Rhinolophus ferrumequinum: one gene and its partner. The protein of the gene in region 2 interacts with the protein of the main gene of each other region in a pairwise test. Links are inferred from orthologs where the notes say so. Each region holds a gene or a part of one and is shown on either strand. Other genes may lie near its edges.

Region 1 (7,704 bases), on a different chromosome or scaffold from region 2:
TTATGGAACAGACATTCTATGATCCTATGCAGTGATTTTTAAAAATGAGGTAGAATGGAATTACCTTATGACCCAGCAATTCCACTGTTGGGTATCTATCCAGAGAAATCCAAAACACTAATTTGAAAAAATATATGCACCCCTATGTTTATTGCAGTGTTAGTCAAAATAGCCAAGACATGGAAACAACCGAAATGCCCATCAGTAGATGACTGGATAAAGAAACTATGGTACATTTATACAATGGCCATAAACAACAATGAAATCTTACCAATTGCTAAGACATGGATGGACCTAGAGAATATTATGTGAAATAAGTCACATGGAGAAAGACAAATAACATATGATTTCACTTACATGCGGAATCTAAAGAACAGAATAAATGAACAAACAAAATGGAAATGGACTCAGAGATATAAGAGAAAAACAAACAAACTGATGGTTGCTAGATGGGAGGGGGTGGGGATGGGAGAGAAGGTAAAGGAATTAGGAAGTACAAATTAGTAGACATGTTTTAGTAGACATTCGTAGACATGTAGTAGACAATATTGCCATGGGGATATGAAAGACAGTTTGGGAAATACAATCAATAATGTTGTAAAATTTTGTATGGTGTCAGATGGGCACTTCTCTTATTAGGAAGACCGCTTCATGGACTGGGTAGACGCCTGACCACTGTACTGTACACCTGAGGCTGAAGCCGAATAATACTGAATGTCAACTATAAATAAATAAATAAACGTGTGTGTGTGTGTGTGTGTGTGTGTGTGTGTGTGTAGCCACAAGATGCTGAGTACAGCATAGGGAATACAGTCAATGGAATTGTAACAGCAATACACGATGTCAGAGGGATGTTAGACTGGGGGAGGTTATCACTTTGTGAGGGGTATAAATATTTAACTATTACATTGTTTTGCACACCTAAAACTAATTTAAAAAGAAATAAAATAAGGTGACTTTAAAATTTTAAAAAATTGAAAAAAGAAATAAGGTAGATTTGTATGTACTGACATGGGAAAGTCTACAAAACATAAAGATCGCTAAAAAAAAAATACCTTAGTCACAAAGCTAGGTCTGTTTTGCCACAATTCTAAAAACTAATAAAAGCAAAACCACTACCATATATTTGTTTCTATTTATGTATCTAAATACAGAGAAAAAGTCTGAATCAATGATAGTGGGTTACTCTGGTAACGCAGAAACCAAGATTGGGAGGGAGAGAGGTTTATGTGTGCAAAGGGGAATTTAACCTTTTACTCTATACACTTATATTGGTTGCTTTTATTTTTTACTAGAACAGACTCATATATTACGTAGGTAATTTAAAACAAAAATTTAAAACTATGACATTCATATCTGTAACTGTAACAGAGGAAAATGAAAGCTTCCCTATATCTTCGACTTTACTCTTCCCCTACTCTGATCTCCACCATTAGCTCCCATCCTCATAGCCCTTTCCCCTCCATCAGACTTTAGTGTTGTATTTGGATCTGGTCAGGGAGTAAATGATTTTGTCCTCTCTCACCGTATCCCAGATTTGCAGTTTGATTTGTTTTCCATCAATGTTGACCATACGGGCCCCAAACTCCACACCTGTCAGTGAAGATCAAGAGAAAAAATGTGGTTGTCATGAACAGCCATGTTGAGTGAGAAGTTCATGCTATTTTTCAATGTGCTAGTGACTCGTCCTCTGTCTGCACTCAGTGCCACTATTTGAGCCAATTAGTTTTTTGTTTCTTGAAGTTTCATTTCTTTTCTAGAATTAAAAACTGTGTTCTAGGTGATAATGACTTCAAGAATGTAACCAAAAAGCAGATATGGGGATAAAATGAATTAAGAAGTCAAACAGAAAAGGTGAGTAAATTTTTAGCAATGTTAATTAACGCTTAATTTGATTAGATAATGTTTAATTTTGTAACTTTTTAAAAAACTTCTAAAATTTTAAAAAATATTTCCTAGCATTTTTCTCAAAGTCACTCTCTACTCCTCTATATGGAACAATATTTTTTTGCAATTCTAGATTTTTTGAGAAAAGAGCCTACCTAAGAAATAAGTTCTCAAAAATAATATATTTCAGATCTCCAATAATTCCCAGAGTTCATCAGAAAACAGCCTTCCTCATAGGAGTATGGAAACTGACAATCTCAATAAAGACTTTGGTTTACCTGGCATTCATCTTCTTTCAAGGTAAGATCAGGACAAAAATTAAAAATCAAAGGTCACTTATATTAAAAACACTTGATCATATGTCAGACAATTTGTTCTATTTCCTATTTTTTATACAGTACTTTACTTGAGGAATTCTGATTTCCAAGTAAGAAAGAGGACTAATCTAGCTTCTTATAATGGGCTGATATGCACCTATTCAGTGGTCCCACATACAATGCATCAAAATATCACCCTCAACTCTAAGGTGCTCAAGTCAATATGATATAAAGAAAAAATGTTTCTTACTACTCTAGACTGCTTCATCAAGAATAGTGATAGCTACTGCAAAAAGTCACTATTTTTTTTCCCTTCTGGACAATAGGAATGGAATTTCAATGGGGAAGAATTGAAAAATAAAACTTTGTATCCTTTTATGCAACTTTCTCTAGTTATGCACTCAGAGACCCTTCATTTTGCACATATTTTCTATCCAACTGCCTTGTTTATTTTGGTACAAAGGATTGACTTCAGAAAGAAACAGCACATTTTGGACTCTGGGGAAAACTTGATCACGTCATTCCTCCGCTTTAAAACTTGTCATTTACTCCTATTGCCTTCAGGTGTCTCAAAACTTAGTCTCTATTTTATTTTCTAGCTTTATTTTTTGTCATTCTCCACTTCAAATTTCATGCTCCAAACGTGTCAAATTACTTACAGTTTTCCAAAGGCAGCCTGATCTCTGTCATTCATAAGCTTCTGCATATGTTATTCTTTCCTGCCCTGATCACTTTTCCCTCATCTCTATATCCCCTTTGCCTGGCTAAGTCCTGCTCATTCTTCAGTTTTCAGCCTTTCCTGATAAAGGCATCCTCTCCTCCCTTTTTGCAATAAAAATTTACTTGTCAGTACACTATATCTACCCCCAGCCCCACCTGCTACACGGGAAGACTGTAAGCTACTTAAGGGCAAGCGCAATGTTTGCCTTTTTACACACTGTATCATTAGTTTATCACAGTGTGGGTGTCCACTTAACATTCATTTCCAAAAAAATATTTTCCTGTTGATGCTACCCTCTAAATTATTTTCAACCTTTAGTTGTTTGGCTCTGAATAAGTCCTGTGGGAGCAGCAGTAGCTTCAGATTTCAGTAAGGTGGGACTGTAGATGGTAAGAATCTACAATATGGTAAGAATGGGAGCTAGGGATTTTATTCAGAAACTGTGTTTGCATGGCAAGGAGGCTAGTTTTATATGCATTCTTTATTTCGGTTGAGGTTATGGATATTATGGGGCAGGGGTTGCTAAAGCCCCATCAGGCCATGCCTTATCACAAATACGTAGGAAATGTTTATACTTTCCAGAATCTCCTGGAACTCTATCACACTTTTTAACAAAAGTTATTAGTTTCAGCTACCTTTTAAGTCTAGGATGACTCTTGAATTTTCTTCTTCCTCTCCAACACACACAAAAATCTGTATATTGGTAATTACTTAACATACACACACGCGCACACACACACACACACACAAACACACACACGTGAGGCTAGCACTAATTTACCGCAAAGTAAGGTGAGTTTTTGAATTAGTTAGCTTTCGTAGGATTTTCCAAACATTCAAATTGCATTTGGAAAAACAAAAAGAACTTATTCATACCTCATGCTCATCTCTAAAGTTACTTTTCAATTATTTGCTCCCCATTACACTACTCCCCATTTACAGCATTTGATTGGTCACTCTTCATTTAACACAACTTCGGACTATTTTATAAGTAGGCGGAGCTAACTTTTTACTTTGAACCCTGAAGGCTGCTAACTTTTCACTTTAGCTAGTCATGTTTCATTATCTGTTCAGGCACAGGTAGATGCACTTACCTATTGTGAGGTCGTGAACAGGCTGGAACCGCTTGTCTGTAAACTGCAGGAGGAGACATGACTTCCCCACACCTTAAAGAGGAGGACGCACGCTCAAGGAGTCACGCCGCCCGGGAGCGGTCCCGAGTCGGGGTGTCCGGCACTGGGGAAGGGGAGCCCCGAGCCCCGCCCCCGGCCGCCCTGCCCCCGCCCCCTCTTCACCTAATCGCCCAGCCCACTGAGCCCCGCCCCCACGACCCGAATTGGGAACTTCGAATCCCCGCCCCAGCTATCAGGGCAGTCGCCCGCTGTTTACCTGTGTCCCCGATGATGATGTACTTGAAGAGATAAGCATAAGTCATGGTCCCGTTTCCTCTGGATTCCGGGTCCGCCCGACTTCTACAGCCACTTACCTCCGGCCTGTCTAGCCACTCAATCCGCCGATCTCCAGCCCCTCTAGCCCAGATCACATCTCTATTGCTCTCCCCAGAAATCCTCTCCTGGTCGGAGCGACGGTAATACCCAGACACCGATTCCAGGGTCGCCTGTAACACTCTTATGTGCCATTATCCCACCAAGCTCCAGGGGGCGATAGCTAGCCTTTCCGTCCTTTCGGCCTTCCCGGGTCTGACTCGTAACAGCCCTACCGCGCCCCTTCCAATCAGCGAAGAGCGACGCATGTCCTTGCGGAAGTGACGGCAGTTCCGAGTCTTGTGGGGGCGGTGGGAGCGATGAGGGGACTGAGACGGTGATAGCCGTTGTGTGAAAATGGAGGTAGGAACCTGAGCGCTAAGAAGGCTGACAAGAGAGTGCGACCGACCGGGTTGAAGCAGAGGCGGGAAGCTGGGCGGAGAGGCGGCTGACAGGACGGGAGAGAGCGGGATTTGGGGAGTGTTGTCAGAATGTCGGGGTCAGAATCCGTCGCTACAAGCTAACTCCCTGCTCCCCCTAACTTATCCCCGCGGCTTTCTTTTGGTTTCCAGTTTCCCGGAGGAAATGACAATTACCTGACGATCACAGGGCCCTCGCACCCCTTCCTGTCAGGGGCCGAGGTGAGCACGAGGTGCCGATGCTGGGGGCGGGGGGGAGGGCGAGAGGCAGTGGTGGGGTAGGGCGGTGGGGAGGAGAGGGCGCCAGGGACCGGGGGATGGGAACCAGGGGCCGCGATTGGTGTTTAGAGAAAAGTGGCAGCTGCTTCTAGAGCCTATGAGGACTAAGGGGTAGACCCAGGAAGCTGCTGTCATCAGAAAAGCAGGACGTTGGAAAGCGCTAGCGTATTTCAGAGTGATTCTGGATTTGAAGACTGAATGGAATTGTCTTTCTCTTTACGTTGGGGAGAAATAACTACGACAATCTTGGGGGATTGAAGGAGGAGGAGAATATTTTAGGTAAAGAAATTGGGATGAGAGGAGTTTACCCAGCAGGGGTTAACTGTGAGCATTGTTCATTCTTGAACCAAACTTTGTTAGGGGTCTTTGTTTCATATTAATTTTCTACTCAGTGATAAAAAAAAAGTTAATAGTTATGTTAACGTACATGGTGTTAGCTTGTTTTGCTAGTGAAGGATGAAAGGAAATACGTAGTTGCCAGAAAACATGAAGGAAGTAGAACATGTGTTTCTGTTTGCCAGTGACTCATTGTGGGGAGGTTAGGTCACCTTTGTATGTCAGTTTCCCCAGCTGTCAAATAGCTGTAATAATAGTTTCTTACGATGTTGTGAGGTAGAAGTGATGATTATGGTGAGGTCCTTTCAGTATTTGTAGAAAAGTTTTGTTGAAATAATTGTCATAATATAGATATGTGTCATTTACTTAGGCAAGGCAAAGAGAAAGATGGAATAGACAAGAATAAATTTCCTGTTCTTTGAGAAACTCTGAAATCTTGAGCTTTCTACTGTCTTTTGAGGACTTTAATTTTTTTTTCCCCAAAAGTGGTGTGACCCATTTGCATCAGTTTTTTTTTTTTTTCGTACCAAGAATTCTCAATTGCTGTTGAATGGGCTTATCCTGTAATAAATCCTAACGTTTTCATGAATGAGAATTAAATCGACATGGGGCAATTGCTAGTTTTTAACTTCTTTATTGCTATTATTATTATTTAACTAAGCAGAGGAAAGTGTGAATCAAATGAGCAGCAAATTTAGAAACGATATAAAACTAAAATCTGTCTGATGCTTTGTAGTCTCATTGCCAGTTTCTTCTGAGTGATAGCTCCATGATTTAATTTCATTATTAGGAGTATTGTAAATCTCACATTGGCCATATCCACATGAAAAGTCCATCATTGCCAATTTCTTCTAAATCAGGTATCCAGAATTTAAATTCTTTATTTAGAGTGTTTGTAAATTTCACCTTGGCCTCATCAAGAAATTTTCCAGGTTTGAGTCTATCCTTTGTTTTTGCTTTTGTGACTTTGAGCAATTTTAAAAAACAAAACTATTTTGCCAAGCTCATAACTAAATTTCAGTGGCTTCTTTTAGCCTAGGACTCTGTCATTGTTAACAGTTCTCCTCATTACAATTTCTTCACCTTCCCTTCCCGGTTTTTGGTGTTTTTTTTTTAACCTTTATTTTAATTGGTTTGTGGGTTTTGTTGTATCTGGTCTTACTGTAAGCCGCATAGAACTAGGTAAAGGTAATATTTTAAAATTTTTCTTTTAGAAGAAGAGTGATTTTTAGAGTTTTCTTGCAAGAAAAAGATGTCCACAAAAGTATTGACCTTAAAAAAATTGAAAAATGGGATTTCTTTTAAATTAGTAGTTTCTTTTCATTGAAAGATATCATTAAGAAATTAAAAAGGCACTCCACAGACTGCAAGAAGATAGTTTAATACATGTATCTAACTTATATTTAGAATATATCAAACACTTCTGCACAATAAAAGAAAGAATCCAATTTAAAAATGGGCACAAGAAATTTTTTTTTGGTTAATGTTAGGGATTTATTTATTGAATACTTTCGAAGTGCTGAATTCTTTGCAATGTCATGATGGGAGGCAGTGCACAGTGATGGAAAGACCTCTGTTCAAATCCTATCTCTGTTATTAACTTTTTTTTTTGCCACCACTAGAGTTTTTCTTTTTTTAGTTAGAGCTACATATAATATTATATGTTTCAGGTGTACAACATAGTGATTACACATTTATATAACTTATGAAGTGATCACCCTGATAAGTCTTAGTAAGGACAAAAGATTTGAACACGTACTTCATAAAAGAGGTTATCCAGATTGCCATTAGGCATATGAGAAAGTGTCATCACTCACTAGGGAAATAAAATAATGAGATACCATTGCACAGCCACCAGAATGGTTAAAATTAAAAATACTGACAATCCCACGAGTTGAAAAGGATGTTGGATAAGTCTTAATCATTGCTGGTGAGAGTATAAATTGATTTCAACCACTTTTGAAAACTGGCAGTATCTACTAAAGATAAACATATCTAGGGGTGGTTGGTTAGCTCAGTTGGTTAGAGCGTGGTACTAATAACACCAAGGTTACCGGTTTGACCCCCGCATGGGCCATTGTGAGCTGCGCCCTCCTTATAAAAAAGAAAATGATAAACATATCTACCCTGTGACCCAGTAATTCCACTCCTTGACATATATATATACACACACACACACACACACACACACACACACACATATAAATATAATGAATGTATATATTCACCAAAAATATGTGTATTCACAGCAACTTTATTCA
Region 2 (7,178 bases):
GCATGCATTTTATTTCTTTCTCTTGCCTAATTGTTCTGACTAGGACTTCCATTATTATGTTGAATAAGAATGGGCACTAAGATCCTGAACTTAAAGGAAAAGCTTTCAACCTTTCACCATTGAGCATGATGTTAGCTGTCGGTTATATGGTCTTTATTTTGTTGAAGTTTGTTCCTTCTGTACCTTATTTATTGAGAGGTTTAATTATGAAGGATGTTGAATTTGTCAAATGCTTTTTTTTTTTTTGCATCTATTGAGATGATGTAATTTTTATCTTCTATTTTGTTAATGTGGTGTATCACATTACGGACGGTGTGTCTCCCCCTGGGAGGCTTGGGACTGTCCCTGGACCACAGCTAAGAAGGGCTAGAGTTGGGTCCCAAGCTACTTCAGGGTCCACAGCCAGAACCAAATACATTGGGCCTGTTATCTGGGGCATGTGTAGGTCTGATTCTTGCTGGATCCCTCCTCGGCGGATGATGCTGGTGACAGGACCAAGGCCAAATGGAGCTGTAGCCGCGTCCACAGGGGGATGGTCTGTTTCTGTGTCTGTAGCTGAGACCAAGGTTAGTGAGTCTTCCATTTGAGTCGGTGGCAGCTGACTCAAAATGGCCCTTATGATTTGGGGTTCCACCAGGGATTCACAGTCTCCTAGGCATCCCAAAGTTCCCACCAAGGTACTTCTGTCCATGGATGGATGCCAAATTATTGCTGCTGAGGGAGGATATGATGGAGGACCCCTATTCTGCCCTGTGGCTGACATCACTTCCTAATCTTTAAATCTCTTGATGGCCCAGAACGTATGGCTGTGGCCTGTCCCAGGTCTGAGTGGAATTCATGCCAGGGGGAGATGGGACTATAGTGGGTGCTGGGTGCTCCTTCTTCCCATTTCCCCTGAATTATTTTGTGGGCTCTATCTCCAGGACTCCAGATCACCCCCAACCTGATCTTTTCCCAGCAGGTGCTAGGAACCTACACAAAGGGGGCCTTTGTGTGAAGTAGAGGAAAGTGTCGGAGGATGGGGGAAGAATTACAGAAGAGGCCCCCTTGGCTGGACCAATAACAAAGAAGCGTTGTTCCTGGCAGCCTCCACAGCAATGGTGGGCAGCGGCCAGTGGTGCTCAGAGTTCCCCATCCCAGGGAACGGTACTCTGTCTATCCAGTTTTACATGTTTGCAGACCCATGAGGCATCCGAGCTGCCCTCCTTCCCTTACCCTGCTCTCAGTATTGGATTCATGCTCATGTCCTATTGATTTCACTCTTTGAGTCTGTCCACTTCTCTGCATGTTGGTCTCCACTAGGATCACCTTAATTCAGGACTCCATCGTCTCTTGCCTGGAAGCCTGCCATCGTTTCCTCAAGTGCTCTCCCCAAATCCACTCAGGACCTTTCCTCCCCACCCCCAATTGATTTTCCAACATTCCAGCCAGAGTGACTTTTGAAAACACAAATATGATCATATCTACCCTTGCCCCTAACCTTGTAAAGGCTTCCCATTATTTTTAGGATCAAGACAAAACTCATCCCTTGGCCAACGAGGACCTGCAACCCACACGGCCCACATCCTAATTACCTTTTCCATCACATGTCACAAACTTCCTCCTCAAAGTTCTTGTACTGCTACGGCTGTGACCTTGGGTGTGTTGCTTAATCTCTCTGAACTTTATGTTTTTCATAAAGAATAGGGATTAAAACAAGATGTGCCTGGCCCAAGGCATGGTAACTCAGCACGAGTAACGTTACCATTTTCTGAGTGAGGCCCTCTGCTAAACCCTTTAGAAACTCTGCGACATTGAATCCTTCCCAGGGCCTCATATTCTGTGAGTTTGAAGCCTCAGCAACTTGCCACAAGAGAGCTTAGATTCAAAGCCCAGTTCAGGCCTGTTCTTATGGCTCTGCTTTTATGAACAGCTTTCTAAGCTTTCTAAGCTCAATTTTCTAAGCTTTCTTGGACAACGAAGGACTTCATGAATAATTCACTTTTCTCCGTCCTACTGACATATTCAAGAACAGGACTGTTCTGAAGGATTCCAGATTTTGCTTAAAGTGGGCATTGCGTGGTTTTGAAGAAGGGGCCTTTGAGATCTTTGCAAATGCCCTGCATACCTACATCTAAGGGGTCCCCCATTTCTGGTGCCATCCAGATCAGAGTGCACTTCTCGTCTAATAAACCGCCCACCAAACGTGACTTCAGCTTAATTAACTCCGGGGACTTCCACTGGAGTCTTCTATGAATTGATGGGTAAGGAGAAGGCTCCTGTGTGGTCCCGAAGTGACCCTTTATTGGTAGACAGCTGTCTTGGTCCATTTCAAGCGATTTAATGTTTTTTGAAAAAAACCATGGTTAATCACTGAGATGTGAATATTGAACACCTTCCTCTATTTGAGCTTCCTGGGCAGCAAAATGTAAAATAAGTAAATTGGAAACATTGAAAACAAAAAAGAGAAGTCAATGATTCCAGCATATGCACAATTATAATTTTGATTGGTTTAATTTCTGATCAGTAAGCAGTTGCTTGGAGCCAAGCAGTGTGCAAGCCCTGGGCAGGAAGGAGTGTTGGCAAAGCCACACCTGCAAGGGAGCTACTGGTGAGGACTTTCGAATATTTTGAAATAATATGAAAAATATCACCCTACGTTTATCTGCTTTCTAGTCAGATGCAGAATGTTAAGACTGCTTACATAGTTAAGTATTAGATTTGGCTCTAACTGAGGCTGAGGTGGGGACAGAAGAACTTTTTTGCCCCCATGCCTCTCTCAGGATTTTTGTAGTTAGCTTTTGCAATCATTTTTCCCCACTGTGAGCGGACTGTAGACTCTAGACCAAGGTGTTTTGGATTCCACACAGTGCTTTTCGTCTCTTTCCAGCCCTGTGACCTTGCTGAGCAATTTTTCCAATCTCTTTGGACTTCTCATCTCTACATAGGACATACCTCGTTTCCATATCAATATCTTTTCCAGCGCTGACCTTCTGTGGTTCTTTGGAATTCCTTTAAGGCACTTTTTCGGTAAAGGAATCCAGTAACCAGCCTCAGCAGAACCCCAGTGTTAACTCTGGAAGAGAGGCTAACTCAACAAAGTTGCCCAAGGTTGCACAACTGGTTGCTGCCCTGAATCAAGTTTTTATCATTGGCAAAAGAGAAATGAGCAGGAAACTCATGGTAAAGCATTTCATTTTCTAAATGAAAATAGCTCCATCCTCTTGTGTTTGGGTGATCAAAGGAATTCTTGCTCAAAGTAAACAACTCAGAAAACAGAGGCAAGTATAAAGAAGAAAAATGAAAAGTAATAGTAATCCCAGCACGCACGAAAAGCAATGGTGATGACAATAAGTAGGAAAAACATTGCTGTCTATAGTTTGGGAATTTTTTCCTAGGAGTACCCACAAGCATGCATTTATGGTCTATAAATATATTTACATTCATACTATATTTATATTCATATATAATAGTTCATATTTACATAGGCGCGGATTATATGCAATATATAACATTAATTATATACAAAACATATATCACATATAATTTAGTCTTCCCCCACGAGCGTGCACTCAAGACTGTGCACATGACACTGGGGACCCTTGTGCACCACCTATTCTTTGGGGGAACCCCGCCAGAGCGGAAGCAGCAGCACACGCGGGGCGCAGCGATCCAGTGCATCTGAACTACAAGTCCCAGCAGCCCACGGCGCGGGCCGGGCTACCGGAGTATGGAGAGACTACAAGTACCGGCAGGCAAGGCGCAGAGGCCGGGACTACGAGTCCCAGAATGTACTGCTCGCGGTTCGCGCAGGGCCCTCCGGGATATGTAGTCGTTGGTGGGGAGCTAATTCTTAATTCATTTAGTCTCAAAGAAAATGCAAAGTCCTCCAACGGCCCACCGACACGATTTTTCAAGGGTTAACGAGGAGCCCTAACACACCATGGGGAAGTGAGAGCTCCTCGGGGCCCAAACTGTGGCACTGGAGTACAACGCGTGCGCATGCCCGGCGGTCGACGGCGCGGGCGAAAGCGCGCGCGGGAGGCCTCAAGCGGCAGGCCCTGCCTCTGGTCCCTCCTCCGCTCCCGGCGCGCCCCGCCCAGGGAGCCTGCGCAGATAGTGCAGGGCAGAGGGCCTCGAGGAGGGACTCGCGGCGCCTGCGCAGAGCGGCGGCTTCTCTCGCGAGGACGGACGCCATTATCGCATCTCCCCGACAAACACCACGAGAATTCCGCAGCCCACACGGTAATTGCAGCTCCCGCAGCCGGTCGCGTCTCCACCTCCCCCTTCCCGCGGGGCGAGAGCGAGAGCGAGATCTCCCCTCCTCCCTCCTCCCTGCACCCTCCTCCGGCCGCCGCGCCCGCCGCCCCCTCCCGGGACGCCCTGCCGGTTCCGCCAACGGCCCACTACCCCCGCCCGGTAGCCCCCTTAGCGCCCCGGGGCCCCGCCGCCCGCCTGAGCCCTGCCGTCACCCGTCCTTCCCCCGCCGCTTCCCTCAGTTCTGTCAACCTCTGCGGACGCCCCCTCGGCCTCAGCGTCCCTAGGCCCCGCCGCCCCCCTCTTCCCTGTCAGCCCCCCGGTTTCTGCGGCCCCCAGGACCCCCCGCGCCTCCTCCCGGGAGCGCACGGCGCTGTCCCCCCGACATTCCCGATACTGGGGGGCCGGGTCACAGGGCCGATCGCAGGCTCGTTTTCTTCCCACGGGAGACTGTTGATTTCATTAATTTTCTTTTGCACTTGCACCCCCCCCACACCCACCCATATTGTCATGCCGTGCGCGGGTTAGGACGGTGCGGGTGACAGGCCCGGCCGCCGGCAGCTGCCTTTAAACTTGGGGCGCAGCCCTGCGAGAGGTGCTCGCAGACGTCCCGAGGGCCGCCCTGCAGCTGCAGGAGGGGCAGGCTGGGTCTCTCCTTTCTCTGGGAAATGGGAAAACTGGACACGCACCCACAGACCCTGCGGTGTAGTAGTTCCTGTCAGGCCGACTTCCGACGCGGTTGGCACCCTGAGTTCCTAACGTGAAATGGAGCCCCGAGAGTCAGGAACACAAGCAGCGTGCTCTTCATTTGCTTACGGTTTCACAAAGGGAAGTAGGGATCTAAGGTGCCGTTTTAGGAGTAGACTGCCGTAGACCTAGGAGAGGACCGGATCCAGCTCTCCTCCCGGCCTCGATGAAGGAGCATTTCAGGTTCTTTCACCCCTATACTTTTTTTTGCTATTTCTGTGGTGTAATCCTTTTGAAATGTGGCCTTAGTTTTTTGCTTTGCAGTCCCTCCACCCACCCCACCCCACCGTGGCTGCAAAAAGTCGATGTACATTGCACCTCACTGTGAGTGAATTGGAGACATTAATAGAGGACTGATTTTTTCAGTGATGAGATGGTAGGGATTGTCTTCATATTGGAGAAATAAGAACTGTTAACAAGTGCAACTTCCAAGGACAGAGAGCTTGCCTGCCCTACCTGGGCAGGTTAGAGTCTGTGGAAGGAAACAGGTGATTGCTCTTTGTTTCGAGTTACCTGTTCTTCCTGACTGTACCCCCGAGGAATGCACTCCAAGGCCTGAGGGCGTTGGTAGAACTAGCACTAAGGTAAACTAGTTGATGGGAGGAGACAGTCCTTTCTAAGGGTGGAGTTGTAACTGGAAGTTTGGGAAACACATAACGTGGGAAAGTTGAGTGGTCCTCAGGGAGGGAAGGTTACATCAGAAAGTACATGATTAGATCAATGAACGTGGAGCTTTTGACCACCCTGGGTACAAATATGCAGTGGTAAAAGAAAACACCAAAACTGCCCGTAAAATTAATTCTCTATATTCAGCTCCATTTACCTTTTGTGTTGCAATCAGAATATGTTCTTCTCATGTTGTGTTCTGCCATCATTGGTTTTAATTTTTAAAAAACAGTCGTTATTTATGGGATCATGTGCTGTTGGCCGGGACTTAATCATTTCCCATGTCTCTCATCACAACCACCCAGTGAGGTAGAGACTGTCCTGTTTTACAGATGAGGTGACTGAGGTCCACAGAGCTTAAGTGACTTGCCTAAGATACACAGAGCCAGGGTGTGAACATTTAAAATAAATAACACATACGTATATTTAATATTTTGAAGTAAGGTACATAATAAAATGTCAATGAAAAACTTATGATGAGAAGTAGTAGTCGCCTGTCCAACCTTTTACATCGTTTTGTTTCTTTAGTAAATTTTCCATCGCTCTAAATGATAAGCTGGTATTTTATTAATTATACACATTTTTGACTTTCTGTTATGATACTGTTTAGCTCTTCAGATCATATTCCACCTCTTTCAGCCCCTGAATTCACTGTGTTCAGTTAACTCTTTGTTTGTAACAATGCAAAAGTTGTTTGCTCGGCAGCCAAGTAGCACTTACCCTTCTTATACAGCTATTTGTTTTTCCTATTGTTTGTATTGGCCTTTCTTTTTCTTTGCATTGTCTGCTCCTATTGGCTGCTTAAATTGTTTCAAATTCTCAAGGATAGAGTCAAGTCTCTCCAAACTTCCCCCTCCTCCCGATTCCTCTGTTCTCTTTTTCTGATCTGGATTGAGTACTCTATGCCACCACAGGTATCCTGATATTTTCCTTTATTATACATCTGAGTTCAGGACTCCATGTTTTAATCTTTGCTTTCTTCATTTCAATGAGAACCTTCTGCCAAGTCGCCTTCCTCCTTTCGCGTGACTTTTTAGGGTCCTCTTTGGTTTTAGGACATTTCCAGAGTGCCAGAGGATGGAGAGTCCCATTCCAAACGCTCTTTGTTTCTGGGGCCTTGTCCTTCAGTTCTGGGAAAGTGTCTTGTATCATTTACTTGAGAATTTCTTCCTCTCTGCTTTTACTCTTCTCCTTTCCAAGTTCCTGTTAGTTTGATGATGGATATCTTGAGCCCCTGAATCTCTTGTCTTTATCTTCCTGTGTCATTTTGTTCTTATTTCTGGGAGAGGGCTTCAGTTTATCTTCCAATCCTATTTAACATTTTTATTTCCATAATTGAAATGTTAATTTCCAAGTGTGTATTTGTTCTGTTCCTTTTTCATAGTAGCTTATTGTTTTTTGAATGCATTATCTTGTTGACTCTGAGGATACCAATAAGGATTTTTTTTCCCCACTTCTTTTTTGTTCTGTGATCTCTCATTTCATTTAGTGTCACTGCCATCATTGTCTTCTTATTTTAAAATACTGGC

What was found. The genes of interacting proteins can lie anywhere in the genome.
Region 1: the proteins of BANP (region 2) and TOX4 interact in binary tests that used the Homo sapiens proteins (3 or more experiments, as listed by UniProt). The two-hybrid records come from large-scale screens. The link is inferred for Rhinolophus ferrumequinum from reciprocal best matches to the Homo sapiens genes BANP and TOX4.

What each region holds. Positions count from the first base shown.
Region 1 is NC_046289.1:72,280,029-72,287,732, forward strand, and holds the start of TOX4 (TOX high mobility group box family member 4), read left to right. Parts: upstream 1-4,675; 5' UTR 4,676-4,766; coding exon 4,767-4,772; intron 4,773-4,981; coding exon 4,982-5,050; intron 5,051-5,368; exon of another isoform or gene 5,369-5,386; intron 5,387-7,704. Other genes in the region: RAB2B (ras-related protein Rab-2B), read right to left, coding at 1,526-1,593, 4,020-4,091, 4,315-4,360. UniProt on the Homo sapiens protein: Transcription factor that modulates cell fate reprogramming from the somatic state to the pluripotent and neuronal fate. In liver, controls the expression of hormone-regulated gluconeogenic genes such as G6PC1 and PCK1.
Region 2 is NC_046298.1:32,663,919-32,671,096, forward strand, and holds the start of BANP (protein BANP), read left to right. Parts: upstream 1-4,118; 5' UTR 4,119-4,224; intron 4,225-7,178. UniProt on the Homo sapiens protein: Controls V(D)J recombination during T-cell development by repressing T-cell receptor (TCR) beta enhancer function. Binds to scaffold/matrix attachment region beta (S/MARbeta), an ATC-rich DNA sequence located upstream of the TCR beta enhancer.